Sus scrofa: one gene and its partners. Each later gene encodes a partner of the first gene's protein in a complex. Links are inferred from orthologs where the notes say so. Each region holds a gene or a part of one and is shown on either strand. Other genes may lie near its edges.

What was found.
Region 2: the proteins of CUL3 (region 1) and KCTD5 are in contact, whole or in part, in a cryo-EM structure (PDB 8U83), measured with the Homo sapiens proteins. The link is inferred for Sus scrofa from reciprocal best matches to the Homo sapiens genes CUL3 and KCTD5. Residues at the interface, in NP_003581.1 of Homo sapiens: Thr24, Met25, Asp26, Glu27, Lys28, Tyr29, Val30, Asn31, Ser32, Ile33, Trp34, Asp35, Leu36, Leu37, Asn39, Ala40, Glu43, Asn48, Ser50, Leu52, Ser53, Glu55, Glu56, Leu57, Arg59, Asn60, Ala61, Tyr62, Thr63, Met64; in NP_061865.1 of Homo sapiens: Trp45, Phe55, Leu56, Thr58, Thr61, Arg64, Asp65, Lys67, Ser68, Pro96, Thr97, Tyr98, Phe99, Gly100, Pro101, Leu103, Asn104, Tyr105, Leu106, Arg107, His108, Gly109, Lys110, Leu111, Val112, Ile113, Asn114, Lys115, Leu117, Val122.
Region 3: CUL3 (region 1) and KLHL21 share a complex: the UniProt entries of both Homo sapiens proteins name them as parts of the BCR(KLHL21) E3 ubiquitin ligase complex. The link is inferred for Sus scrofa from reciprocal best matches to the Homo sapiens genes CUL3 and KLHL21.
Region 4: CUL3 (region 1) and KBTBD2 share a complex: the UniProt entries of both Homo sapiens proteins name them as parts of the BCR(KBTBD2) E3 ubiquitin ligase complex. The link is inferred for Sus scrofa from reciprocal best matches to the Homo sapiens genes CUL3 and KBTBD2.
Region 5: CUL3 (region 1) and KLHL42 share a complex: the UniProt entries of both Homo sapiens proteins name them as parts of the BCR(KLHL42) E3 ubiquitin ligase complex. The link is inferred for Sus scrofa from reciprocal best matches to the Homo sapiens genes CUL3 and KLHL42.
Region 6: the proteins of CUL3 (region 1) and KLHL22 are in contact, whole or in part, in a cryo-EM structure (PDB 8K8T), measured with the Homo sapiens proteins. The link is inferred for Sus scrofa from reciprocal best matches to the Homo sapiens genes CUL3 and KLHL22. Residues at the interface, in NP_003581.1 of Homo sapiens: Thr14, Arg17, Ile18, Arg19, Ala20, Phe21, Pro22, Met23, Met25, Asn49, Ser50, Gly51, Leu52, Ser53, Phe54, Glu55, Tyr58, Tyr62, Leu66, Met118, Asp121, Ile122, Met124, Tyr125, Arg128, Val129, Gln133; in NP_116164.2 of Homo sapiens: Asp73, Tyr74, Arg76, Gly77, Met78, Gly81, Gly82, Leu83, Lys84, Glu85, Leu92, Ile93, His94, Leu117, Gln121, Val125, Cys128, Gln129, Gln131, Pro133, Trp146, Glu150, Asn151, Asp154, Val155, Arg157, Leu161, Phe162, Asp163, Ser165.
Region 7: CUL3 (region 1) and KBTBD8 share a complex: the UniProt entries of both Homo sapiens proteins name them as parts of the BCR(KBTBD8) E3 ubiquitin ligase complex. The link is inferred for Sus scrofa from reciprocal best matches to the Homo sapiens genes CUL3 and KBTBD8.

What each region holds. Positions count from the first base shown.
Region 1 is NC_010457.5:126,284,349-126,288,447, reverse strand, and holds the start of CUL3 (cullin-3), read left to right. Parts: upstream 1-1,299; 5' UTR 1,300-1,714; coding exon 1,715-1,780; intron 1,781-4,099. UniProt on the Homo sapiens protein: Core component of multiple cullin-RING-based BCR (BTB-CUL3-RBX1) E3 ubiquitin-protein ligase complexes which mediate the ubiquitination and subsequent proteasomal degradation of target proteins.
Region 2 is NC_010445.4:39,426,809-39,430,761, reverse strand, and holds the start of KCTD5 (BTB/POZ domain-containing protein KCTD5), read left to right. Parts: upstream 1-1,153; 5' UTR 1,154-1,202; coding exon 1,203-1,454; intron 1,455-3,953. UniProt on the Homo sapiens protein: Its interaction with CUL3 suggests that it may act as a substrate adapter in some E3 ligase complex. Does not affect the function of Kv channel Kv2.1/KCNB1, Kv1.2/KCNA2, Kv4.2/KCND2 and Kv3.4/KCNC4.
Region 3 is NC_010448.4:67,432,013-67,436,202, reverse strand, and holds the start of KLHL21 (kelch-like protein 21), read left to right. Parts: upstream 1-1,390; 5' UTR 1,391-1,831; coding exon 1,832-2,852; intron 2,853-4,190. UniProt on the Homo sapiens protein: Substrate-specific adapter of a BCR (BTB-CUL3-RBX1) E3 ubiquitin-protein ligase complex required for efficient chromosome alignment and cytokinesis.
Region 4 is NC_010460.4:40,603,137-40,607,257, reverse strand, and holds the start of KBTBD2 (kelch repeat and BTB domain-containing protein 2), read right to left. Parts: upstream 2,801-4,121; 5' UTR 2,506-2,800; intron 1-2,505. UniProt on the Homo sapiens protein: Substrate-specific adapter of a BCR (BTB-CUL3-RBX1) E3 ubiquitin ligase complex that acts as a regulator of the insulin signaling pathway, modulating insulin sensitivity by limiting PIK3R1/p85alpha abundance in adipocytes.
Region 5 is NC_010447.5:45,952,088-45,956,184, reverse strand, and holds the start of KLHL42 (kelch-like protein 42), read left to right. Parts: upstream 1-1,297; 5' UTR 1,298-1,414; coding exon 1,415-2,286; intron 2,287-4,097. UniProt on the Homo sapiens protein: Substrate-specific adapter of a BCR (BTB-CUL3-RBX1) E3 ubiquitin-protein ligase complex required for mitotic progression and cytokinesis. The BCR(KLHL42) E3 ubiquitin ligase complex mediates the ubiquitination and subsequent degradation of KATNA1.
Region 6 is NC_010456.5:50,797,976-50,801,475, forward strand, and holds part of KLHL22 (kelch-like protein 22), read left to right. Parts: intron 1-2,103; coding exon 2,104-2,296; intron 2,297-3,500. UniProt on the Homo sapiens protein: Substrate-specific adapter of a BCR (BTB-CUL3-RBX1) E3 ubiquitin ligase complex required for chromosome alignment and localization of PLK1 at kinetochores.
Region 7 is NC_010455.5:48,485,789-48,489,718, reverse strand, and holds the start of KBTBD8 (kelch repeat and BTB domain-containing protein 8), read right to left. Parts: upstream 2,801-3,930; 5' UTR 2,694-2,800; coding exon 2,678-2,693; intron 2,037-2,677; coding exon 1,826-2,036; intron 1-1,825. UniProt on the Homo sapiens protein: Substrate-specific adapter of a BCR (BTB-CUL3-RBX1) E3 ubiquitin ligase complex that acts as a regulator of neural crest specification.

The DNA of each region.
Region 1 (4,099 bases):
ATTTTTTTAAAAGTATAAAAAACCCCAGCTTCCAAATACTACAAAAGTACTGAACTCCAGCTGTTTAAAAAGGCATTAAAAATAAGTTTGAAAGTATTAATACTGCAGCTTCCAAATGTAGATACCCATCTCAGCAATAAGTTCTTATTTAACGTGAGATCACAAACTTTAGTGGGCATTCACACATTCCTCTGCAGAGTCAGAAATTCAAATACCACATCGACTGAGCAAAGAGTTAAGTTAGGAAATAAAATTCGTAGTAAATGCAAAGCAAAACTGATAAATCAAACTAAACTTTTTGACCACAATGCCAAAAAGTTTTGCCCCAAATTATCAGCAAACTGGAATCAAAGACAAAAAATTTTGGCTTTCAAAACCTATGGCACTCTCATAACGATAAAAATGATTTGTCAGATTAAAGATAGGTTTCTATCATCCATTTACCAAAATAGTGCACTCCATTAAGGGAGCTGTCATTTTACTTCAACGGTAAAGAAAAAGAAATATTGACACTAGTAAGTCCTGGGTCCCTCAGAAAATATCAGTGAATCAAGAACTTCTGCAGTTTAAGGAAAATCTGTGGATTAAAATCTCCACTTCTGAATCCTGACAGCTGGGGTGTGCATATCCAATCCGAATACCTTGTTAGGCATACAGGACCCTAATTTCTGCCACTGCAGGTAACTCCTACACAACTATTCTTTCAACTTTCTGGCTTCTGCTCAAGTACCCATCCCTAGTACACCTGCCCTAGAAAAACACAGGAACCAGTTCTAGGACGTGGTTATCCAGCTAGCACCCCATACTCCTCCCCGAGACTACCCGCCGCCCGCCCTAGCTCGGCCCGGCCCGGCCCGGCCCACCCCAGCCCATCGCAGCGCCGCCGGGCCCAGCCCAGCGGAACCCCAGCCTACTACAGTCCTGCTCCGGCTCTCGGAACTTCCCCCGCCCACTCCGTCCACGTGAACAGGACCCCCACCGGCTCCGCACTCCACCAATCAGCAGTCACCTCCGCCCAGGATCCGGTCTCCAACGCTCCCCTTTCAAAAAGTCAGCTTACTCCTCCCGCCCTCGGTCCCGCCCCTTTCCCACCTCCCCGCCCCGCTGGCCCCTCCCACTTCCCCAACTCCCTATTCCTCTCTTCCCCTCCCGTTGCCCCCTCCCGCTTCCAGGCTTCGCCCCGCCCCACCCAGGGCAGCGCGCTCGCCCTCTTCTCGCGAGATCTGAGCGTCCCCGCCGCGGCCGCCCGCTTCCCCCTCCCGTCCTCCCACCCCCCCTTCCCCCAATCTCTCCACTCTCCGGCTCTCCTCCCTCCCTCCTCCCCCCTCCACCCTCTGGGCCGGATCTCGTCTCGCTGAGGCGGAGGAGGAGAAGGAGGAGGAGGAGGACGTTCGGCCTGCGCAGTGAGATGTTTGTCCGTCGCCGCCGCCGCCGCCATCGCGGAGGAGCGCGATAAAGGGAGCCGAGCCGGTCGAGAGGAGGACCCCGCGGAGCCGCCCCGCCAGCGCAGCCCCCCAGCCAAGCCCGAGCCGCCGGAGCCCGAGCCGCCGCCGCCCCCGCCGCGGCCGCCCAGGGGCCGGCCAGCTCTCCAGCCCAGCCCGGGGGCCGCCGCCGCCGCCCCCAGCGTCGCCCCTCGCCTGCCCGCCCGCCTTAAATGTGACACCGGCGCCTCGGAGTGCGACCCGAAGCCGCCGCCGGGGAGGGGACGAGCACCATGTCGAATCTGAGCAAAGGCACGGGCAGCCGGAAGGACACCAAGATGCGGATCCGGGCCTTTCCGGTGAGTCGCTTCTCGCCGCCTGGGACCCCGGGGCCGGGGGCCCGGCCGAAAGCCGCACGCGAGGCCCGGGCTGAACTCCCCCAACAGGCCGCAGGCCCGGCCTCCCCTCCCCCACGCCGCCGGCCGCGGGGCGCGAGCCTTCCAGGCAACCGGGCTGCGCGGGGCTCCAGCGCGGCAGCCTCCCGGGCCGTTCCCCGCGCCCCGCGCCCCTGTCCGGCGCCGCGCCCCCGCCCCGGAGCTGCGCCTCCTGGGGCCCCGCGGGCGTCGGCTGCGGCTGGGGCCCCTTCGCCGGTCCCAGCACCCCCGTCCACGTTCCTGGGGTGTAGGCCCAACCCCTAGCATTCCGCTCCTCGGTTCCCGGGACCCCCGGCCCTGCAGGGATGAGGACTGTGGAAGTCCTCCTCGTATGGGGCGTGTGTGTAACTTTTCACGTGGGGTTTCGCTGCGGTTTAAAAAATAACCCAACCTAAAAGATGGCCAGCCAAACGTTTCGGATGGTGAAGGGGGCTGTCCTCTCCTTTTCCTCCCCTCTTCAGGAAGGGCTATGCCTTCAACCTACCCCCGACGCAGTGACAGCCTTTCCACGTAATGCTCCGTAGTAATGTACTAATAACATCGGGTGTGTTTATAACGTCTTTCATCCACAAGCTTCCAAAGCACTTTACAAACTTGTGCAGGAATTGCCTTGCCACTCAAGAGGAGACAAGAGAAATCAAATTGGACAATTGGTTCTCCATTTCTTGGCCGTGGAAGCCCAAAAGAATGAGTAGTCATCACTCCGAGTTGCTTTGCTTTAGGTTTTAGTGACAGCAAACGTATTCTGTTCAGAAACTTTTTCTTTTTTAGCATTACGTTGAGTCATACGCTTGCGGTGTTTAGTATATAGGGTATAACTTTGGATGTCGTATCTGATTCAGATAGCCAATGGCAAGCAATTAAAATGTGCAGTTGGAACAGAGAAACTGGACATACTTGCTCATGTCGCTACAGTAACAGATACACGTCAAGATAGACAAGCTAGCAGTTGAGCAGAAGATTTTAAAACAGTGAAACTAGAGAAAGATGTTGGGTTTCCTGTCTTAGAATCACAAACACATATCCTGTGAGGGGGGGAAAGAGAGGGTCTGTACTTAACTTTTCAAAGCATGCTTTTTTCTAAAGTGTAGTTTGCAATGGGGAAAGATTTATTCATATAAATGTCCTAGTTTGGTAAGAAATTGACCCAGGGAGGTTGAGGACCTCTCTGAAAATTCTTTAGATTTAAAAGAAAAAAAATGCTCCTGATGCAGAATTCTGAAATTGTAATAATGTAAATATTGATGTCAGTGTGAAGAGACTTCCAGCTTTATGTAAATAAAGGGAGGATATACTTAAGGAGAATTAAATTTTTTGATGGTGGTTAAAGGGATTTTGATTTTTTTGAAGGTTTTTTTCCTAAGTGAATATGAGAAACTACAACGAAAATGAGAAATATTGACAGAAGAGCACTAATGAAATTCATTAGCGTGTTTTCCCTTATAATGGAACAATGAACTGGGTTTATGAATTTGTGAGTGATACTAGTTTTCCTACTAAATCAGTTCTGAACATCTTTAGCAGAATCTAGAATTATTCAGCATTTAAAATGATTTTATACAAGTTTTTTAGGAAAAGTTTGCTATTCTTGAAGTCTGAGTTCTCCTAATTAAGATTAGGAGAAATAGCTCACATTTGACATCAACTCATATATGTTAATATTCTGATTAACCATTTATCTGTGTGTAGTCAACTCTTTGATCACTTGGTCTGTCTGTTTCTGTTTGTTTTTCCATTCCTTCATTCATTCAACAAATACTGAGGACTGTGTGCCAGGCGCCCTGTGCAGGGGTTTGGGATAAATAAGTATGGTCTCTCCTTTCTGGATCTTGTATCATTGGGAGGAAGGGGTGGGAGAGAATTTTATTATTCCTTTAGGCGAAGGGTGTCATAACTTTGTGACAGGTTACCTCATAGTCCTGAAACTGATTTTCTTAAGGCGCATTATGGTCATGAGCTAATTTAGACCCTTTTTGTCTATAACTTGTTGCCCTCTAAGTTTTTCTGAAATCTTTAAATGAAGTTTGTAAGTAGCTAGTGATTGATAGCTAGTACTTAGTATCTGCTAACTTTTAAAGCCCAATAGTTTTTTTTATTTCATAAGTATTAACATCACTTGTAAGTAGTTCCAATGAAAAGAATCATTATATTTTTTAATATATAAATTTTAAAGTCATAGTTCTTTGAACCTTCGTTAAAGATAGGTACATACCGTAGTGGTGTGGTATTTCAGTGATTTATTTG
Region 2 (3,953 bases), on another chromosome or scaffold:
TTACCTGTAGTTCAGACAGCCATGGTGGGCAACTAAACAGGCCTCATGTGTACCAGAATTTACCCAGAACTCATTTCTTCAGTATGAAGAACGACCAAACTTTATGTACAGAGAACTTTTTACAAAAGGCGCACCTTTTTTAGCTGTGGGGTCCACCCTCGTCTAACCCTTCTGGCTGCCTGACTATAAGTAGGGGCCATTTTGCTGGTGAAAAGCCTCTGCCATGATCCTACGTTTGATTGGACACTGACAAAATCAAAGTTTCGCAATATTTAGAGCTGCTGTAGCTATTAACAACACAAAATAGGATGAATCAGTAGTATGCTAGCTGTCTTTCAGGTTGGTGGCAGTCAGAACATGTGTAATATTCTCTACCTGGTCTGTAGCTGTAACTGTGATGTACAGGCAAAGCAAATATTAAAAAAAAAAAAAACTTACGGAAACAAATAATGCAATGATATTAGGATATACACTTTTGTATTTTTATTCTTATATAAGGTTATTTGCTGGCTATTGTTGGCCTCTAGTTCAGTCTGTGTTATTTAAAATCTAATATATGAATTATTTGGGTTGAATTCATGTTCGGGCCACGTTGTTGTATGTATTGATGTACAGCCTTGAATGTGAATAATTATTGTAAACTATATTTTACAACTTTTTTTCTGGCTTTATTATATAAATTTTCTATTTGGTCGATGATTTAATCATATCATAATTTAATGAATCTGTTTATTCTTTTTTTTCAAATATTTGTGCTTTAGGTGTAGTTACCGGATGATGAATTTTCCACGTATGCTCGGTAGCCTTGTAATAAAAAAGCATGTAGAATGTAGACGCTCACTGATGTAGCTTTCTTTGGCCGGGGCGCGGGTCGGGCGTCGCAGGGCGACCTGAATTCGGGGCCAGGAACAGGGTGTTCGGGCACAGCGCGCGCCCGGCGAAGACCGGCCAGCCCCTCTCAAGCGCGACGCCGGGCTCCACCGCCGCCTGCCCACAAGGGCGATGCCGGACCACGCCGCGCCGGACTTGGCCGGAAGGGGGCACGGCCGGCCGCTTTTCCGGACCGGAACTTCCGCCTCCCGCGTGACGCCGGGGTGGGCGCCTTACGAGGGCGGACCCGTGGGCGGGACAGAGCCCGGAGGACTGTATTAAAGGCCGGACGCTTCCGGCAGAGGGGAGCTGTGGCCGGGCTTGCTGGGATCATGGCGGAGAGTCACTGCGAGCTGCTGCCGCCGGCCCCGGGCGGCCTCGGGGCGGGGCTGGGGGGCAGCCTGTGCCGCCGCTGCAGCGCGGGGCTCGGCACCTTGGCCCAGCGCCCCGGCAACGTGTCCAAATGGGTCCGGCTCAACGTCGGCGGCACCTACTTCCTCACCACTCGGCAGACGCTGTGCCGGGATCCGAAATCCTTCCTGTACCGTTTGTGCCAGGCCGACCCCGACCTGGACTCGGACAAGGTGAGGGCCGCGCGGGCCAGCCAGGAGGATTCGGGCCGCCCCCGTCGGCGGCCCCACACACACCCCCTGACCCACTCTGAGAGAACCGCCCCGGCTCCGGGTCTCGCTGCCCCCTGCTCACCAGCCCGACCGGAGCCCCCGACTCCCTGTCCTGGGCCGAGGATGAACAGGATGGCGCCCTGGCTCCCACCGCCCTCCGAGAGCCCCAGCCACTCCCCCTCGGGGTGTCTGTCTCGCCCTCCTCTGCTCTTCCGCGGAGGAGGTTTCCCAGACCCCGGACTCTGCTGGGATCTACTTTCTTTTCTCTCCTAGGTTCTTTTGCCCCCGCCGGGAGCACCTTCTCTTCTCCGTCCCGGTGTACTGACTGGCTCTGGAATCCCGAATCCCCATGTTCCCCTCATTTTCTCACATTCCAGACGTTTTACTTAACGTTAGCGTGGGGTTTGATACTAGTGGCCTGCCTTTCTCAGTGACTTGCATTTAGGGAGTTGGCGCTCCATCGTTTTCAGCCACAACACGCACCCACACAACAGTCTCAAAAAGTGCCGTCCATAGAGTGATTTTCGAAGGGAATGTGGCTCATATTGAGGCGTGGCTCAGGGGTGTCAAGGAAGGGCCAGATAGGAAATCTTTTTCAATCTACTTTCTCATTAACCTAGTTTTCCTGCTGCTCTCTCAAAAGGATAGGAGTTTCTAGGTTGGTTTGCTGCTTGTGTTTCATCAGACTGTTGTGCAGGTGATAATAGAAGCTGTTTCGATTATTACTTAAAGAATTGTCTCGGCAGCTGTATGGCATCGAAACTCAAAAAAAGGCTGTGCTGGAAGAAGAGTTATTCCCTGTACGTATCCTAGGCGGTTCACAGGCCTTATCCTAACTTTCCTGCCTTTGGCTTGGGCCTACGTAATTGCCCTTGGCCTTGTGCCTTGCCAGCCCAGCATTTGCCAGGCATAGGCTTCCCAGAAAGAGTGTGATCCCTTGTCCAGATCCAGAAGCCCGACCGAGATCATCCTCAGAGTGGCCTGACCTTAGGATCGGGAAATGAGACCTCGAGTGACCACAGAACCACCAGTCCTGGGTAGAACTAGGGTTGAGATGCCAGCGCTCCTGCCGCCCACCCGCACCTCCCCCAAGCCTCAGCTGTGTCCACTGATCGTTTGACCAAGCTCCGCTCTCGGAGAACTGGCCTCCCAGAAAATGACAGGCATCTCCAGGATAGAAACAGGCTTTTGTTAGCTGTGATTTTCCTTTTATAGCGTGGCTGTATGTTTTACTGTTCTGTTTTTCTTTTTAAACAGTGGGTCTTAGTGGTCATTCCCTTGCATTTCTACTTGAGCGTTTTCCAGTTGTGCATATGGAGTCCGATTTTACATTGCTCTTGTTCACGGGGTTGTTTTGAGGCACTGGCTGTCAATGCACTAGACGGATTCAGAGTTTGCACAGTTCAGGCAATTCATCTCTTTATTTTACTGTCTCGAGACTATTTAAAAACAATTATCATGTACTGTATAGGAGTCCTTTGGGGCAAGTAATTAGTTAATCTCAGAATATATCGATATTATAGTTGCTCCCTTTCATCATCATCCACTTAACTACATTTGATTTACACATTATGAAATCACACTTCACAATGTGAAGGTAGTGCAGCAGATACAGCATCTGTCTCAGAATAGTTGCTGGAAGATAAGTTTTTAGCTTTAGCCACAGATGCGCATTTTCCGGAAGGCGTAAGGCTAATTCCCATTAGTCATGGTCATCAACCCATGAGCGAATGTGTAAGGGACCCCTTCTTAGGTTTTACCCCCTTCGTTTCTGATGAGAGAATGTCCCAGAGATTCACTTGTCGATAATTAAACCCTGAGTGAGGAATCTGGACGAGGGTGGAGGAGGGGAAGGGGTGTTTGGACGGGTGGGACACTAGTAATTAAGCGACTGGAAGAGAAACAGGATGTTGATTCACGGAGGAAAATGTCCAGGCCCTGACCTCGTAGTTAAGGTTAATGAACGCATACCTGGCAGGTATGCTGGGGCTGGAGGGCCTGGTGGAAGATTTTCTGCTGGGCCTTTGACTCAGGGTTGAGCACCTGGGCTTGCAGCCGAGTGCTTGGGTGAGGGGTTGGGTTGGATCTGAGGGGGAGGAGTTCCAAGAAACGGAAGCCCTGGAGTCTCTCGGCAACCTGCCGGGTTGGGAGTTCCCTGGGAGTGTGGCTGCAGCTTGCTCTTGCCGGGCAGAATGTCTGCTGGGGAGCTCAGCCGTGCAGCCGTGTAGGAGAGGTGGTCCCAGGACATTTATCTGAAGGAGCGCTTCCTTGAAGAGCCCGCAGACAGGTTGCTGGGGGCGGAGGTGCAGAGCTGGGCTGCACCTGGGACCCACTGGCCGCCAAGCCCCAAGCCTCTCGACCCTTGCCCTCTCGTCTCAAGTCCTGACTCTGGGCCCGTTGCTGCCCTGACCCCCTCGTTAGGGCTAGTCCGAGTGTGAAGAGTGTGAATTCTCACTTCTT
Region 3 (4,190 bases), on another chromosome or scaffold:
GCCGGGCTTACAGGGCAAGGGTGGGGGCTATCGTATAACAGAAACCCAGGCTTCATCTGCAAAACAAGTGCGACAAGGGTTTTCTTTTTTTCTTTTTTGGCTGCTCTGTGGTTGATGGAGTTCCAGGGCTCTGGATCAGATCCTTAACCCACGGTGCCCGGCCAGGGATCCAACCTGTATCCCAGCGTTACAGAGACACCACAGAGTCCATGAAGCCACATCAGACACTCCTGGAATAAGGGTCTTTTCTGAAATTGAGCAAAACATACATTAAACTAAAGAAAATAATGGCTTTCAAGTGAGAGAATTTTTTCATATGGTTTCATTGAAAACACAGCCCGGGTTTTGTATATATTGGAACCAGAGTAAGGAAGATTTCTTTCTTCACCCGCAAGTGACTGTGACATATCTGAGCAGCCATATCCTCTGTTTTTTGGGGGGTGGTTTTAGTGGGGGGTTTTTTGCTTTTTTTTTTTTTTTTAAGGGCTCTACCCAAGGCATATGGAAGTTCCCAGGCTAGGGGTCAAATCAAAGCTGCAGTTGCCAGGCTACACCACAGTCACAGCAATGCCAGATCCCAGCCACGTCTGCCACCCACACCACAGCTCAAGGTAATGCTGGTCCTTAACCCACTGAGTGAGGCCAGGGATTGAACCCGTGTCCTCTTGGATACTAGTCTGGCTCCTATCCCACTGAGCCACAAGGGGACCTCCAATATTCCCTGGTTTTTAAGGTAGTCCTCTGTTTGACCTTGAGCTGAGGCCCTGTGCCCCACCCCACCCCCGCCCCGCCCCGCCCCCACCCCTGAACCCAGTGCCCCTCTCATGAAATAGGACAAAGTGCTGTTTTTCCCCAGAATTATTTTCTGGTGCTTCAGCTTTGTGTTGAATTTTTATACTCTTACGAATTTTCATGGGTTTTTCCTACACTGTTTTCTGCCTTCCCCACTTCCATTTCCCGACCAGGAGGCCAGCGTGACATAATGCAGCCAGAGCAGGCCTGACCCCCTTCAGAGGGCAGCTCAGGAGACTCAAAGAGTCGCTACAAGTCGGAAACGAAAACTGCGCGCCTTGCGTGCTGACGGAACTTAATGACCCAGTCGGTCAAGTTCGAACCTCCTGCAGGAACATAGCGAGGCAGATTCCTGGCATCTGGTCCCATGTCGCTGACGCGCCAAGGAAAAAGCGTCCCCTAAAAACCTCACACTTATTTATGCTTTTGGTCCCGAAGTGAAAAAAATTCTGTCGTTTGAAACCTGTCCTGAGATAGGGTTAACTAGCAACGCTTGGAACTAGTGGAATCCAAAAAAAAAAAAAAGTCATTGTCCCCAGTCGCCCTGGGGCGGTTGGGAAGTCTGGCGCGAAATGGGTGCCTTCGCTTCCCGGCGAGGGGCTTTGTGGGTGGGTGATGGCAGGCCCTGGAGGCCCCGGATCCAGCGCACAGCCGCCCCTAGGAGAGGACACTTGTCACTCGGTGTCCCTGGCTCAGGCGTCGGCGGGAGGCTTGCAGGAAGCCCCGGAAGGGCGGAGAGGGGAGGCGGCGCGGGCGGCGGTGACTCAGCCTGGAGTATGCGGGCGGGAGCGCGCGAGGGGAGGCGAGGCAGCGCGCTCCGCAGCGCGCGGGGCGGGAGGCGGTGCCAGGCTCGCAGGGGTTAATTGGGCGGTGCCGTCGGCGCCCCGCCCCCGCCCGACCCGGCCCCCTCCCCGGAGGCCGAGGCGCCCGGCAGTATTTATAGCGGCGGCGTCCAGCGTCCAGCGTCTCTCCCGCTGGCCCCGGCCGCGGCCTTCCCGAGCAGCGCGCGCAGCGGCCCCGCTCCCCCCGTGAAGGCGCCATGGAGCGGCCGGCTCCCCTGGCCGTGCTGCCCTTCTCGGACCCCGCGCACGCGCTGAGCCTGCTTCGCGGCCTGAGCCAGCTCCGCGCGGAGCGCAAGTTCCTGGACGTGACCCTGGAGGCGGCGGGCGGGCGCGACTTCCCCGCGCACCGCGCCGTGCTGGCGGCCGCCAGCCCCTACTTCCGCGCCATGTTCGCGGGGCAGCTGCGCGAGAGCCGCGCTGAACGGGTGCGCCTGCACGGCGTGCCGCCCGACATGCTACAGCTGCTGCTCGACTTCAGCTACACGGGCCGCGTGGCTGTGAGCGGCGACAACGCCGAGCCGCTGCTGCGCGCCGCCGACCTGCTGCAGTTCCCGGCCGTGAAGGAGGCGTGCGGCGCCTTCCTGCAACAGCAGCTCGACCTGGCCAACTGCCTGGACATGCAGGACTTCGCCGAGGCCTTCAGCTGCGCGGGGCTGGCGAGCGCGGCGCAGCGCTTCATCCTGCGCCACGTGGGCGAGCTGGGCGCCGAGCAGCTGGAGCGGCTGCCGCTGGCGCGGCTGCTGCGCTACCTGCGCGACGACGGGCTGTGCGTGCCCAAGGAGGAGGCCGCCTACCAGCTGGCCCTGCGCTGGGTGCGCGCCGACCCGCCGCGCCGCGCGGTGCACTGGCCCCAGCTGCTCGAGGCCGTGCGCCTGCCCTTCGTGCGCCGCTTCTACCTGCTGGCTCACGTCGAGGCCGAGCCGCTGGTGGCCCGTTGCCCGCCCTGCCTGCGCCTGCTGCGCGAGGCGCGCGACTTCCAGGCGGCGCGCTACGACCGCCACGACCGCGGGCCCTGCCCCAGGATGCGCCCGCGCCCCTCCACCGGCCTCGCCGAGATCCTCGTGCTCGTGGGCGGCTGCGACCAAGACTGCGACGAGCTGGTCACCGTCGACTGCTACAACCCGCAGACGGGCCAGTGGCGCTACCTGGCCGAGTTCCCCGACCACCTGGGCGGGGGCTACAGCATCGTGGCACTGGGCAACGACATCTACGTGACGGGTGAGTGGGCCGGGGGATGGTCAGCAGGACCCCCTGGGCTGGCCGGACACCCGGCGCACCTGGGGAACCACATCCACCTGCAGGAGAACCCACAGCCCCTGGAATCCCGGCCCCGCACCTGGGCTCAAGCAGCCGCTTCCCTTCCCCTCCTCCACCCCCAGGCTGGCACGCGGGTGCGATTCCAGGGTGATACTTAAGACAGAGAAGAAGAACCCCTTGTGTGAGTTAGGACAAGCTGCTGTTTGTGGGTCCTCCCCACCCGCAGGGCCTGCCTGGAGAGCCTCCCTCTTGTGGGGAGGTGCCCCCATTTGGTTGGAAGCTACAGGAGCAGTCACGCTGCACAATGAGTGCTTTCTTTTGCTCCCTAGGGAATCCGGGGACAGGCCAGGGACTGACGCCCTGTGACACATCCCCTCTCCCCCTTCGGCATTTCTCCCTCACGTCTGAGCAGCACAGGCCTCCTGACACCCTCACTTAGTCACCAGTGACAGCATTCCCTCGGCCCTGCACCTAGGCCCAGTGCAGCGGGTCACGTGGTGTTTAGGCTGCTGCCTGCTCAGCGACTGTAAACAGAGTCACATGCTAAGAGGTTTTCTTCCAGTTAACTTGGCCCAAACCCCAAAACTGTGCCGAGTCATGCTGGGCGGGTCCCAGCCCGCCCCAGTCCTGGGCATCGCCCGCATTTTTTGTAAAAGATGAATCCCGGTTCAAACAGGAGGCCACCGCCTCGCGTGGGCCGAGGAGGGCGGTCTGTGGGACGGCTATATAAGGAAAGATCCCGACTCAGGGCCTGCGGGGCTGGGGCTGGATCAGGCAGGGAGACGCTGGCTGGGCCATCACAAGGCCTTGTCCAGCCTGGCACATTCAGGAGAAAACCACCTCCCGGACGCACGCTGGTACTCTGTGGGGCTCTGAGCTGACGGGTGGGGCGCGTCCCCGCCTAAGGACTGGCTTGGCTCTGCGGCCACAGCTTCCTTGGCCCCCAGCTCCAGGTCCAGCCTCTGCGGGAATCTGCTAGAATCAGTCCCTTTCATCTCAGGTGGGCCCTGTGTTTGGGAACCTTCCTGCCTGCCTCCCCCCCACCTCCCCCACCCATCACCACAGAGGTCTGGCCTGTGAACTCCCAGAACTGGTCCAACTCGCCCCGGCTTCGCACACCCTTCCATAAATGTCTCAGCTGAGCAACTAATCCTTTGGGTTTAAGACAGGTGGCTGGGTCCTTCCCTACAGCTGCCTGTAGGGAATTTCATGGGGGCGACAAAGTGGCTTCAGCTGCCTTTGCCGCAGTTTTCCTTTAGAAGGAAGAAGCAGGCAGAAAGGACTTACCAAGGACTTTGT
Region 4 (4,121 bases), on another chromosome or scaffold:
ATTTCACAGATATTAAACATACTCATGAGGTCATTAAGAGCTTAGCCACTTAACAATGATTGACAACGGAAATTTCTTTAAAAAAAAAAAAAAAAAAGTAGGAGTTCCCGTCGTGGTGCAGTGGTTAACGAATCCGACTAGGAACCATGAGGTTGCGGGTTCGGTCCCTGCCCTTGCTCAGTGGGTTAACGATCTGGCGTTGCCGTGAGCTGTGGTGTAGGTTGCAGACGCGGCTCGGATCCCGAGTTGCTGTGGCTCTGGCGTAGGCCGGTGGCTACAGTGGCTACAGCTCCGATTCGACCCCTCGCCTGGGAACCTCCATATGCCGAGGGAGCGGCCCAAGAAATAGCAACAACAACAACAACAAAAAAAAAGACAAAAGACAAAAAAAAAAAAAAAAAAAGGTAAACTGAGGAATACTTAGAATCTGTTGCCTATGATGGAACTCACTACATATCACCACTTGTTAGAGGTATGGGTGTGGAGCTGAGGAAAAAAAGAGAATTTAAAAAAGCTTGTTTCATTAAATGGTTATATTTTCTCCAAATCTCCTACAATAATCCCTTCTTCTCACACAGAGGAATCCAGATACTGACAATTCTTGGCAAGAGAACCAGGAGTAATCTTCATATATTTAAAAAGTTACTTGAATTAGTTACTTATAGTACTGAGTTATTTAAATATCATCTGCTCTATTCAAACTCCACAAAATTGAAAATGATAATACTAACATATAATGAAGGATTTTGACGTTTTCATTCATATTTTTTATGACAGCAAAACCAATCCTTTTTCCTGGTTGTAGGAATGTGGGCAAGGAGAAAAACAATTATTTTCTAAATAAATAAGTAAAATCTTTGAGAATACCTTTTGGCTTTTAAGACTGCATTCAAGCTTCCATGGATTTACCATCCACGTTAAACCTATTTACAATGTTTGCATTTAATGAATTATTCTCACCCATCTCCTTAAAGGCCGTGTGAATAACCAAAGTTAACCGCATTTATGGTAATGCTTATTGCCAGAGCAAAAAAGAGAAAACTGATAGCATCCTACAAAACTGGCTGTAGAGAAAATAGCACTATGTGGAAAAGCATAAACTATAAAGCATGCTCAACCGAAGTGCCATTGTCCTGCAGTGTTTACTGAGGACAACCACCTCTGGAGAATTTCAGGGCCCAAACTAAAGGGGCTTCAATGAGCACTAGACCAACAAAAGATTAAAGTGAACTAAGCTGAACATCAGCAAAATTTCACATCATCAAGACTAGCAAACAACTGACTGGTTTGACTTTTTCGATTTTCTTTCCGTCACAAACAGCCCTTCTGAAAAAAAGGTTAGGAAGAAAGCCGTTACCAAAGCTTAACCAAAATAAGTCACACACAGTTGCGATAGCTGAAGTCCATACCACTAAAACACAGGCAAAAATTCACAACACGGAGAGAAGGAAGAAGGAAAAAAAAAACAAAAACAAAAAAACGCACTGTTAATTAATTGCTTCAAAAGGAAATATAATTTTAACCAGGCCACACTGCCGATAGGTTGTCTGCGAATGCCAGAACGCTCAGGGAGCCAGACGTACAGATTCATGTATCAACAACACGTGACCAGAGCTGTACCGTACCCTACGTTTTTCTAAGGCTGATATGGTAGACAGATACTTCACACACACATACACTTTCAGAGTTAATTTTCCACTTTAAACTGTTTTTCTAGTTTCACTTGTGGGGGCCATCGTGGCATCGGACAATTCTAGAAATCTGCAGACTGTACATTCCTTTCCCTTTGAGGTACCCAAGAGAGAGAGTAGGTTAATAAACCAGGGGAAAAAAAAAAAACAAAACCAAACCTGTTAACTCGAAATAACTACATCAAACTAACGGATACTCTTCTACTCCAAGGTTTCTCAATTCATAGGGAGACAGGGTGGTCGAGTTCAAATAAGTTAGGGATTTCACAGTCTAAAGTAAACACGCACACAATTTTCCGTTTCAAAGGGCAGATTCTGCCGTCTTTTAAAAATCACGAGCAGATCACAATGGGACCTCTGTTAATCTAAACATCTCCTGGCTACTTCAGATGTACCGGGAAAGAAAAACATGCGAGCGAAGGGCTTGCCCTCCTTCTGCCCACCGTCTCGCGAAGATGTCGCGAGTCGTTAAGGGAAACAGCTTGATTTGGGCCAGCGCGGGCGCCAGCCGGGGCCAGGGCGCCGCCCGGGAGACCCGCGGCCGGAAACGCCCCCGCGAGCGGCGCACCGGCCGGACGCCGGGCCGCAGAGGGGCCGCCGCGGGGTGGGGAGCAAGGCGCCGACCGCCCGCGCCCCTCCCCCGCCCGTGGCGGAAGCGTCTCGGGTTTGAAAGATGCCGCCGCCGCCGCCGCCCCCCGCCCGGCGAGCCACAAAGAGCCGAGCCCCCTCCCGCCGCGGCCCTCCTCCCCCAGTTCCTCCACAGGTCGTCCCCGGCTCCCCCCCCCCCGGCCCAGCACTGACGACGCCTGCTCACCCGAGTCCCTCTGTCCCGAGGGTTAGGATCCGGTGCGGCTGGCGGCCCCGAAGACACTGGGCCCCTGGGGCGCGGCGGCGGGGGCGTGGCCCTCCCGCGGCGTCCAGGGCCGGGGTCTCGCCTCCCGCCTAGGAAGGCTGGCGCCGCCGCCTTCTCTTCCTTCCGGTTTCCCTCGCGCCCTCCCTCGGCAGGTCCGTCCCGAGCGGAAAGCAGCGTCCTCTCTAGGCGCCGCCGCACGCTCCCCAGGGCCCGACCACCGCCAAACTCCTCCCCCGGGAGCCGCGCCGCCCGCACCGCCTCGTCAGCCCCGGGGCCGCGAGACGCCCGGCTCGCCGCTCCTGCCCCGCCCCTGCGGCGCGCTCTCGCTCCCCTTGGCGGGCCCCTTCCGAGGCCCGGGAACGCGCGGACAGCGGACTGTGGGCCAGCCTTTGCCAAGTCTCCTTTTCCGCCGCCCGCGCGCGCCTAGCAGCACAAACGTCAGTTTTGCAGTTTCCCGGGTTCTGGAGACGCCCCCCGCCCCCCCAACGCCGCCCCGCCCTTTTCCTTTGCTGAATCCCACCGGAAAGCCAAAACAATTGGGTCCGCGCAGGCGCGAGAAGGAAGCGGAAAGAGCAGGAAGGGCGGGGGAGGCGCGAAATGACGGGGAAATGCTTTTGAAGGGGTTTCCCGGGGAAGGTCAGCGGAGAGCCCGCGGAGAGCGCGTGCGCGGCCGAGGGGTCGCCCGTGAGACCCGCCGGCCTGGGGCGCAAGGGGGGCGGGGGTTCGGGCGGTGGAGGGTTCTGGGGTGCTACGCTGGCGAAGAGAGGCCCGATAAATTGAGTGCTAGGAACTACAGACAGCTTTATGCCTGTTTTTCCCCCTTGAAATATAGAAATTTGCAGGCTGGGTGAGAGAGTGAGAATGAGGAGCACTGAAAAACATCAGACCATGAAAGAAAGAGAAATTGGGCGGCTGGCTAAGTAGGCTTTGTCTCCTAAGCCCCTAATCTCCAAAACAGGCCCTCCACTTTGCAGAGCATGTTCCGTTTTCCTGATCGAAGCAAGAGAGGCTTCACGTCCTGGTTTCAAGGCCAAGGAAAAGCAAAACAACACCCCAAAGGGCCTGCAGCCCTGGGGAGGGAACCGTTGGCCTGCGGAGGGGAGGCTCTGAACGCCAGAGAGTTTGTGCTGCAATGCAGCGGCTACCTGCTCTCCAAACCCGAGCCTTCAGCTTCACATGTGAGATCTTTGCAGTAGCCGAACGCTGTGGTCTCCACTTGGTACTGCTAGCAGGCAGAAAGTTGTAGATTTACTCTCTCTTTTGATAGAAGTTATTCGTGGATCAAAGTTGTCAGAAATGGCCGCATAGGCTTCATCCTCCCTCCTAACTTCCACTCTTGGCACAAGCCCAATCTGGTGAATGTACATGACTAATTATAAACGAAGTGCATATGTGTTACTGAAGAGATTCTTTAAGCTAGACTAAATCAACTGAATACACACCAAAATGTGTGTATCTGGGACTACTGATAAGGATTTTGCAGTAGAGTCTAGAAACCAGCTCAATTTAACAAATCTTTATTGAGTGTCCAGTATGCTTTTACTCTGCTTCGTCTGATTAAATGTTTAAGTCTTTTG
Region 5 (4,097 bases), on another chromosome or scaffold:
GGTCTGGGAAAGTTCCCAGGGGGTTTTGAGTAAGATAAGACTAAACACACATAGAGTTGCCTTGTGGCTCAGCGGATTGAGGGTCCCGCGTTGTCACTACTGCAGCTCCCGTCCCTATTGTGCAGGTTTGATCCCTCGCCTGGGGAACTTGCACATGCCACGGTGCCACAAAAACAAGAGGAAAAAAACCAAAAAAAACCCCTACTCTACCCTTCTAAGATTCATTCATACCTCCAAGCAACACAAGATCTTTTGGGGGGTGAGGTTTCTATTTGCAACGTTCGGTGGGAGAAGATGCGGAAGAAGTAGTCCTCAGTTGGAGCGGACAAGGGTAGGAGAGTGGGTAAGAGGGTGGCAAGAAAGGCCATCTCTGTAGGCAGATATGAGCAAAAGCAACCAGACCTTCTGCCCAGAGAGTAATAACATTCCGTGACGGCTAGCCCAACCAAACTGAAATTAGGAATGCCGTGGCTGGTAGAAAATAGCATAAAAGGAGGCACGTGATCTAACTTGATTTAGTTGAGTTGAACTTCTTTCTTTTACTGGCCTAAGGAGAACAGGCCCCAGCAGCAAATACGAGCTCCCCTGCTTCCCAACCCTTTCCATCGGGTGCATCGGATGCACGCAACGCACTGAGCCCTGCAGAACCTGCTGCCATCTAGCTGGACCTCCTTCCTGCAAGATGGCTCCTACACGGTGACCATTCCCAAGAATCAGCTCTAGGTGCCACCTCCACGTCCAGAGACTGCCCGTGGGCCTCAGTTCCCCGGACAGGATGTCGGACTCGGCCGCACGAGCGGTCCCAGATGTGTTGTCTCTTTGACCCCCTGGACCCCGACTCTTTTCATCTCCTCCCTCCAACCCTCGTTTCTTTTGCTTCTTTCCTTCTCGCTGGTCGAGCGGCGCGGAAGAAAAGGCAGCCGGCCTCACCCCGCCTCCGAAGCATCGACGCAGACCGGCCGGGCTGCAGGGTCGCGGCGACCGGCGTGCGGGGGCGGCTGTGCGCCTTCCCGGGTCCCGCAGCCTTCCAGCCCTCCCCGAAAGTCCAAGCCCGCGGCGGGGGTCCTGCGGGCGGAAGTGAGAGGCCAGGCGTGGGAGGAGGCTCCAGGCAGACGGCCCGGGACGACCCGAGCAGGGAGCGCGCATCGCCCGGGCCTTTTTTGGCGCGGAGGGAGGCCGGAGGGGCCGTCCACCGCGCCGAGCCGGGAGGGTGGCGAGGCCGAGCCGCCGCCTCCGGGACTGGGAGGAGGGGCCGTCTCGGGGGCGCCGCCGCGGCCGGGAGAGGCTGGGCGGGCGCGGGCGGCCCTGCGCCGCCGCCGCCGCCGCCTCCCAGCGCCAGCGTTCGGCAGCCTCCCCGGAACCCGGCGAGCGCGGAGAGCTGGCGGGAGCCCCCGCTGCCCCCGGGCCCCCAACCATGTCGGCCGAGGAGATGGTGCAGATCCGTCTGGAGGACCGCTGCTACCCGGTGAGCAAGAGGAAGCTCATCGAGCAGAGCGACTACTTCCGCGCCCTCTACCGCTCCGGCATGCGTGAGGCCCTGAGCCCGGAGGCCGGCGGCCCCGAGGTGCAGCAGCTACGCGGCCTCAGCGCCCCGGGCCTGCGCCTGGTGCTGGACTTCATCAACGCCGGCGGGGCCCGCGAAGGCTGGCTGTTGGGCCGACGGGGGGAGCCGGGCGGCGGTGGGGAGGAGGAGGAGGACATGGACGAGGTGAGCCTGCTGTCCGAGCTGGTGGAGGCGGCCTCCTTCTTGCAGGTCACGTCCCTGCTGCGGCTGCTGCTGTCCCAGGTGCGGCTCACCAACTGCCTAGAGCTGTACCGCCTGGCGCAGGTGTACGGGCTGCCCGACCTGCAAGAGGCCTGCCTGCGCTTCATGGCCGTCCACTTCCACGAGGTGCTCTGCAAGCCCCAGTTCCATCTCCTGGGGTCTTCTCCTCCGGCCCCCGGGGATGTCAGCCTGAAACAGAGGCTGAGAGAGGCCCGGATGACTGGGACTCCTGTGCTCGTGGCGCTGGGTGATTTCCTGGGGGGACCCCTAGCCCCTCACCCCTATCAAGGAGAGCCCCCGTCCATGCTCAGGTACGAGGAGATGACCGAGCGTTGGTTCCCGCTAGCCAACAACCTCCCTCCAGACCTGGTGAACGTCAGGGGCTATGGGTCCGCCATCCTGGACAACTACCTCTTTATAGTGGGCGGCTACAGGATCACCAGCCAAGAGATCTCCGCGGCCCACTCCTACAACCCCAGCACCAACGAGTGGCTCCAGGTGGCCTCCATGAACCAGAAGAGGTAAGCAAGCGCCCAGCCGTGCTGCTGCTTTCCCGCCTTCATCTGTTCACGAATTTGGTCCCCTAGTGTTTGCTGAGCAGTCACAGGAAGTTGTGCTGGGATGGGAATGACATCCTGGGGAGCGTTGGTGGCCTTTGGCAAAGTTACCCATGAACTTGGCAAGGAAGCCGAGGCCCCAGTGAAATCAACTATCTGAGTCATTTATTTGCAGATATTGCACCTTTAGACTGCCCCCCCCCCAACTTTGCGTCTATCTCAGTGGAAAAAAAAAGATGTGTGTGGTTTCCTAGAAGGATACCTTTAAAGAAAACTGTAATTTTGCTTTTATTTTTACCTTTTTATTTTTTAGGAACTAATGCTGATTATAATGACACATGGGGCAGTAACCTGTAACACTGATGTTGGCGAATCTTGTTAATGACCTTGAAGCTTTAAGCACTGGGGCACCAACCTGTGATCAGAAAATAACCGTTAGAATGTCAGCTGTATAGGAGATCATCTTTATTTTTTTATTCTCTCTTTTTGCAGCTCACTTTCTTTGCAGACAGTCTTCATCATGGACCCAAAACTTGAGCCTTACATTGGTCACCTGCAAAATTAGAACATTTCCATTTGTCCCAACCTTCTACCTTCCCATCCTGCACATCCCTCCCAACATGCACTGGGGTGACTTGAAGAAAGGAGAAGAAAAGGAGATGGGGGCAGGGGGAGACAGAGCCAGGAAAAGAATAGGAAAACAAGAGCAAAGAGCATTATAGGAAGAAGTGGTAGAAAGAAAGATGGTAGGGCCCAAGATGGCCTAGAGCCATTCCAAAGAGGGGAGAAGAATCAATGTAACCCAAGGGAGGACAGGAATACCCTTTCTTCTGGTCCACCTGTATCCATCTCAAGTACCACCAAGATGCCTGCCCTGAAGTGTGGAATGAGGATTTGGGAACTCACAGCCATGCAAAGAAAGTCTTAACAGGAATGGGAAAGTCATCACACATATTTACTTGACTTAAAGTCCTCCCCCAAGGCTGAGCAGTTGGGGGGGGGGGGAAGGGAATGAGTCCTGGCCTTTTTTCGACTGTAATATAAAATTCAATTTGGAAGGTTTTTTTTTTTCCCCTCATAATAAAAAATACAGAGTTATTCACAAAAAATAGAAAAACGTCAGAGAATGAAGAAGCAGAAAGACTGTCACTCCTACTTTCTCCTTCCTGGAGGTGATAACCATCTAGAGGTTGGCGAATTTTCTTCTAGGATCTCTTTGTTGCATTGCATTATTTGCACCAAGGGGGATGTTACTGTATTTAAATTTTGATATCAGAATTTTTTTTTTTTTTTTTTTTTTGACTATGCTTGCAGCATGTGGAACTTCCTGGGCCAGGGATTGAGCCTGAAACACAACAGCGACCCCAGTCACAGCAGTGATAATGCAGAATCCTTAACCCACTGAGCCACAAGGGTACTCCATCAGAGCGTTATTTTATTTCAGTTTTTGTCTTTTTTTTTTTTAGGGCTGCACCTGTGGCATATGAAGGTTTCCAGGCTAGGGGGTCTAATCAGAGCTGCTGCTGCTGGCCTACACCACAGCCACAGCAACAATGCCAGATATGAGCCACGTCTGCTCCGTACACCACAGCTCATGGCAATGCTGGATCCTTAACCCACTGAGTGAGGCCAGGGATCGAACCTGCAGCATCATAGTCCCCAGTCGGATTCCTTTCCGCTGTGCCGTTACAGGAACTCCCAGAGCATTATATTTAAACAGATTTTAAGAGTGTTAGTTGAATCAACAAATGACCGTGTAGTGGTGATGGGCAATG
Region 6 (3,500 bases), on another chromosome or scaffold:
TGTAGCTGCCGGCCTACACCAGAGCCACAGCAACACGGGATCCCAGCCGCATCTGCAACCTACACCACAGCTCAGAGCAACGCTGGATCCTTAACCCACTGAGCGAGGCCAGGGACCGAACCCGCAACTTCATGGTTCCTAGTCAGATTCGTTAACCACTGAGCCACGATGGGAACTCCAGCCCTAAATCTCAAACTACAAATCCATGTGAGCTCAGCCCAGGCAGCTGTGAGGCCAGAAGCCAGAGGAATGTCCGGAGGGTCTCTCATTGGTGGCAGTGGGCCAGAAGAGATGTGGCCCAGCTGGACCTCTGCCTTCTTGGCCTCCTTGGCTCCACTCTGTCCCCATCTTGTCCCTCCACAGCACCTGCCCTTAAGCAGAGCACTTGCTACTCTGCTCCTTTTAGCCCGTTTCCCAGCCTACTTGAACAGGGGGCTCTTGCCTCGGGTCTCCACTGTGCTCGTCCACAGTGGGGGCCAGTGGTGTTCGTAGAGTGAAGGAAGGATTTCACTGCCAGTGACCTTACTCCTCCTTCAAGTCCTTGAGCAGATGGCATGATCCACTCTGAGCCAGGAGCACCATGGAGGTCTGGGAATAGACAGGAGCATCAGTCCTCCAAAGACTTTATCATGTGCTTCGTCCCTCCTGCAGCACTCAGGCTCGGGTCTGTGTGGCCCACACACGTCCTTTCTGTCCTGTGGGCCTGTTTTCCTGGGCTCCTGCTGGCAGGGGGGCTGCAGTGGGAAGAAGCGGCTGCTGTGTGTCTACCTTGCATTTGGGGCAAAGGCTGAAATAAGGAGCGTCTGGCATAGGGCAGGGAACAGTCCTCTTTGGAAGGTCTTACTGCAGAAAAATAAAACACCAGAAAAAGGCTGTAATTGTGCGGGGGCCATTGTGCAAGGGGGTTCCCATGGCAGGCGCTCAGGAGCTGGTGCCTGGGTGCAAGCCCAGGGAAGGGCCTGCACAGTCGGGGAAGAGGGCTTGGGGCTCAGGCTCACAGGTCCTGGCTCAAGGCTCTGTGGTCTTCTGTGTTCACTCACTCAGTGCTCCTGCCTTGGGGACAGGGAGGGGGAAGGGGCAGCCTGGGGCGGGGGCTGGGCCTGGGCTTTGAAGGGCCACAGCCACAGGGCTCAGGCCTGAGGATTTGGGGCTCAGCTGGTGAGCACGGGGTCAGATAGAGGGAGTGCAGGGTTCCACGTAAGACAGGTGGGCAGCTAGCTGGAGGGGGTGAGAGCCGTCGACAGCGTGAGGAGAGAGCACAGGGCAGTCACCGGGCACTGGACACAACTGGGCTGAGAAGGTGAAGCCCTTGGAAGCAGGAGAGTGGGGCTGGGGCAGCTCCTACAGGGGCGTGGAAGGGAGCTGCTGCCTGGGGGTTGGACTTTTTTATGAAAGTTGATGGGGAAAGTAGAAGGCGGGGCTGTGACTTGGGGGCAGCTGTGTCCCCTTGAAAGGGGCATGGAGGTGGCCTGATGTCAGGAGAGCAACCTTCAGCAGCAGCGCTAGGCTCAGCAGCAGGGGCTCCCCCCGCCCCTTGTCCTGCTCTCTAGGCGGCCCTCAGCCCAGCAGTGCTGCTCCGGCCACTTTCCTAGAGTCCCCAGGGCCCCTCATTTGAGGTGCCCACAGCCAGTGAGGTAGTGTCCACTCCTCCAGCTGGGGAAGCCAAACCCTGCACACAGGGGATGCACAGAACTTGACAAAGGGGGCTGAGATGGGAGCCTGGTGGGCCCGCCTGAGGGAGTGCTGGCTGGAGGGCTGGAGGCTCTTGCGCCCGTCCAGTTGAGGCCACAGTTGGGGACCTCATGATTGAGAGTGGGGCCCTGGGGACCTTGAGGTGGGACAGGTGGGGTGGAGGTGGCTGTAGGAACAGCTGTTGGGCAGCTTGGGCCACCCGCAGTCTAACACTGGAAGAGCCTGGCTCTTGGCAGAAATCCAGGAGACTCCTGGCCCCACCCTCCAGGCTGTATGCTGGGGACACACTTGTACTCGTCATCGCCATGGTGGGTGGCGTGGCTGTTGGGGGTGTGTGCTGCTGTTGGGGCAGCTAATGGGTCTGCTGGCCGACTCAAGTGGTCAGTGACGCCTGTCCTGTGTCCCCACAAGGTATGACCCGAGGCACAACCGCTGGTTCCAGATCCAGTCCCTGCAGCAGGAGCACGCTGACCTCTGCGTGTGTGTCGTGGGGAAGTACATCTACGCAGTGGCTGGCCGCGACTACCATAATGACCTGAGTGCTGTGGAGCGCTACGACCCCGCCACCAACTCCTGGGCCTATGTGGCCCCACTCAAGAGGGAGGTAAGGAAGCCCCTCCAAGAGGGTTCTCCTTCCCGTTCCTTCCCAGGCTATGCAGAGTGAGCGGGAGGCCTGGCCAGCAAACCCAGCCCAGGTATCAGGGTCCACACCCCTACAGACTCTGCTTTTAGGTTAGGGTGTGGAACCCCTGAGGTTGAGCTAGCCACCGAGGAGAGACCTCTTCCCCAGAATTCCGCCCTCACAGTGGTCTTGTACCTTGGCTCCAGTCAGCTCCTTTAACTCTGCAGCCAAGTGTAGACTGAAGATTTCCCCTGTCTATCCCTCAGCTCTGCTGGGGCACATCCACTGATGTTAAACTGGAGGGATGCTGAGAGGCAGGGCCCTGTGGCATCAGACCTACTCTACAGGCCCAGAGCTAGAAACACTTTAAAAGTTGTATTTTTTTTTTTCAATCATGTGTATCCTACACTGTAGCTTGGTTTGTTCCAGCTTGAGGAGGAAAACTGTTTATTGTGCAAAGACAATGCTTTCACCCTGTGCACTCGGCTGGGACCCTGGACCCAAACCCTACACAAGACCCCAGGCCAAGAGAGGTCCTTGCCAGTCTCCTGCATGCATCTTGGGTCCCAGCCTTTATGTGTAGGCTTTGTGCGCATAAGGGCTGGCATTGTCTCTTGCAGCACCTGCTCTGCCACACTGGCCCTGGGCCTTGGCAGGAACTCCTGACCCCCTGATCGTCCTCCCACCCCCTGAACCCTCCATCTTTCACCCATCCCCAGGCCCATGGCCTCAGATATGAGGGCTATTCCTGACGGGTCCAGCTCCTCTCCACAGCCCACCAGCACCCCAGAGAGGCCAGGGAGCCCCATGGTGGCTCCTCCCAGGAAGGGAGAGTGGCCTGCCTCTGGGGAGGAAGGCCCTCTGAGGGTACTTTCTCCCTGTTCAGAGGAAGGGGGTCAATTTTTTTTTTGGGAAATCCCAGGGGTCCTTGAGACCTGATGGACTTGGAGGACCTGGAGCTCTGTCCTGGAGGAAGTGGTCATGTGGGAGAGGGGCTCCAGGGGCTCCCTGTCTGGGCAGTGGGGAGGCTGCACTTCTCAGTGTGGCCACAGAGGGGCAGCCTTGGCCTTCAGCCAGCTTCTCCCTTGTGTCCCAGTTCCCTTCTTCCTTTTTTCATCCATTTGTTCCTTTAGTAGCTATTTAGTAAGCACCTACTGCATATCAAGTCCTGGGGATCCAGTGGTGA
Region 7 (3,930 bases), on another chromosome or scaffold:
CTCTACTGAAAGAAAAGAACCTCATCTTTAAATTTTCTAGCCAAATATCTTCATCTGAATTCACATGCCTTATGCTTAGAAAGTTTTCCAAGCATCTCCTTCTTGGAAATTAAGAAAATCTACTATAGCTTACTTTTTTTAAAGTGATTTGTCCATGTCAGAACTGACTGTGCTCTTTCTGCATGCAGTCCACTCCCTCCACCTTTGAAAGCTCTTGCCCACTGATTGACAGTGGGGGAAGTCAGCCTTTGGACAGGAGTCTGCACCCCCCCTGCAACCCCATTATAAATAAAGCAAACTTTCCTTTCCACAAAAAAAATAAAGTGATTTGTTTAGGTCTTCAAAACCATTAGCCAGAGGTAAGCCAGAATATCAAATACAGTGAGATATAGACATTTTCATGTTAAAGTTTCATTTTTTTTCTTTTTTACTTTTCAAATCTAATAAAAAGTTAATAGTTCCATATGGTAAAATTTAAAAAGAACTCACTCTTGTTCCTTAAAAGTCATACAGTGGCTAAGAATCCTAGCTCTGGAATCACACTCAACCATTGCCACTAGTTACTAGTTAGACAGATGACTTACACAGGGCATTTAACCTTCCTGAGCATCAATGGATGGCCTCAATAAATGAGTATCACCCACAGTTTCCATTAGAAGCCAAACTTTATATATTCTGTGTACAAGAGTTTCTTTTTTTTCTTTCAGCACACTGCCTTGTTTTGGTTAATACTTAATACTCTAATGACCTACCATATGCAAGTCTAAATGGTTACATCATAAGCATCAAACTGAAGTGACTATATTTAACCCCGTATTCTGAGAAAGAGGAACCAGAAACTACTGTCTGGAAAACTACACTGCTATATGCCCTATAAAGGTAAACATCTTCAAAAGGAAAAAGCACATTTAGGGTGTGGTTGAGAATATTATTTCACAGTCATTCATGCACCATTTTTGAATACTAAAAGGCTTAAAGTGAGAACTTGAAACAAAAACAGAAGTTAAACAGGAAATTGCCTCTTTCACTGATATTTTCTTAGAGAATGAAATTATTTTTTAGACTCAAGTTTTAAAATTTTACTTTTCAAATTTTATGATATATAAATATGAGTTTAAATGAAAATGAAAACTGAGCTTAAAAATACTTCTGGAAATCTTAGAAATAATCACTAGTCTGGGGTCTAAGACACATAGAACCTAGATTGCATTCATTTTTATTTCATTGCTGTTATCCCCATGGCATTAAAACAATCCATTAAATGGGTAATTTCTTTTTTTAAAAAAACAGGCTATTATGTTTTAAATTCTAAAAGAGTTAACGTGAACTAAAGAAATCTTGGATAAAATTCTGGAACAAATTCCAGATCAGCACTGTCCAATAAAACTCTCAGTGACGGAAACGTTCTATATCTGTGCTGTACAATGTGGCAGCCACTACCTACATGTGGTTACTGGGCACTTTAAACATGGCCAGTGTACTAAGGAACTTAATTTTTAATTTGATTTTAGATAATCGAAGTTTTAATAGCCACATGTGGCTAGTGGCTGCCATATTGGACAGTACAATTTTAGATTTTCTGAAACAAACAGAAACATATTCACTGACTTAAAAACCAGCCACCTGAATTCTAGAAGAATCTGTCAAGTACCCCCCCCACCTCAAAAAAAGGCTTAATAAAATAGGGCCAGTTATGTATTTTCTGCAAACAAATCCATTGGTTTCATTTCATTGTCGCATCTCAGTATAATAATCAAGTGGGCAATACTGAGGGAAAAAGGGAACTCGGTGCAGATCTCAATAGAAGTTTCCACCATCATCATACCTGAAGTAAGGGCTGATTGCAGCAAGAACGTTTCTATGACAGGAAAATGTTTTCCCGTGATCCACTTCCACTACAATGTCTGTTAGCTGCCCTTCATCGTACATTGTTTTGAGTTGCTTAAGAATACTGCAAGCATGGAAGGGGTCCATGGCTTCGCTGGCTGTGTCTGAAGATGGAATCCCATTCGGTGTTGGGGAAGACTTATTTAAATCTAGCAGGAAAAAAAAATCAACCACAAGAAGTTCGGAGTCAGTTTCACCGTCGCGGGGTTTTATTGGTTTCTTTGTTTAGTCTTGTTGTTGTGGGGTCGGATTTTTTTTTGGGGGGGAGGGGTTGTTTGGTTTGTCCTCCCCCCTTCTAAATACATACTTGTATACAGACACTCCCAAATAGGACCGCGAGGTAGGATCTGGGCAAGAGCGAGCTGCGATGCAAGTTCCAACAACCAGCCTGTTCCTCTGGGAGCCCGGCGAGCTCGAAGCCCGGTGCTCGCGGAGGGACCGTGCGGGCTGAATTGGCGAGGTGTCTACGAGGACTCCGCCACAGCCGGAACGTCCCAGCTAAGAGCGCAGGGCAGGAGCCTCACGAGGGAAGCTCGATGGATGGTGGCCGCCAGTGGCCCCCTCAACCGCCTAGTGAACAGGTCGGAGCGGAGGCGGGTACCCGGCCTCCCCATCCCTGTCCAGCCGGACCGCCCACCTCCCTCCACGCCATTCATCCTCCCTCCCCTCATCCCTGTCCACCTATCCATCCTTCTTTCCCGCTCCTCATCGCTGCCGCCTCAGCTCGCAGCCTGAGCTTGGCCCCAGGCCCACCACCCCTCCACACCTCGGTAACCACCACACGACCCACCTGCCGACGCGGCCATTTCTCGACGGGGCCCGGGCTCCAGCTATTTAAAGAGGAAATGTCATTTCGCTTCTCTCTCTCCCGGGTTCCGGCTCTTCTAAGCTGCCCCTAGCCAATGGGGTGTCCTACGCATCCGGCTCCGCCCGTAGCCTCCGAACTCCGGGCGCCTATTGGCCACGAGGAGTGCGAAAGCGCGTCGGGAAATGTAGTTTTATTGTCCCCGCTCCCGCGTGGTCTGGGTCGGGTGGAGGCCTAAGCCGGCGACTCCTATTGGGTGGTTCGGGAGGAGGAGGAGAGCAGGGAGCCCACCAGCCTGTGTCTGCAAGGCGCGCAGTGCCTGCCGGGAGAGGTAGTCTTCTGGCTGAGGAGAGCTGTCATTCTGAGAGGCGAGGTTAGGGAAAGCTCTTGAAGTGCGAATGTCCCCATTTTAGGCCTCTCTCGAGGCCCCCCGATCTTTTTTTTTCTTTTTTCCACCTGGTCTTTCGTTTCCTAAATCTCCTGCCAATGTTCAGCTTCCGGTATGAATGTGGGGGTCCGCGTGAGGGCTGTGAAACCAGACAAATTTGGAAATGGACAAGAGGGCTGTTGTCCAAAATTGTGAAGGAAATCTGACACCCCACTCCGAAGAAAAATATCGGGAGGCCGAAAGCAAGCCATCTCTGATGAGTCACCTGTGACACCCAATTGAAATAGCATCGCCTTGGCTGAGTCTTCCTGTTTCCACAGATTAACTTGTTCTGGTTACAACGGCTGCTCAGGATCTTTAACTCTCACTCAAAGCCTTGCTTTTCTCGAGCATCCAGGGAACACCTGTTCCATTTTTAAGAGCACATGAACATTATAAAGGGTTTCAAGGTGATTTCCTTTTATGTTCCTGAGAAAGTGAGGTGTTGAGATACTTAGTAGTCTGGGATTTCCTTTGAAGAAATACTGGAAAGTGCCCTGAGCCCAGGATTAGGGACAAGTACTGAATCTCTGACTCTTTACTTCTTAATGTGGGACCATACACAAGACCCTTTAATTCTTGAAATGTTTAGCTCCTTCACCGGTAATGTGTGAATAATTATTCCTATTCCATCTGCTTCACAGGCTGCAAGCCTTTTGAAAGAAAATACAAATTTTACTGTTGACATGTTTTCATTTTCTTGTCTCCTGTTTCTAGCATCTAACAGGGTGCCTGGCACATTATAGATACTTAATATTTTAAAAAAATGTAAGTCAGAAATGAGCTAATGTCAGAAATGCTATTTCTAGAT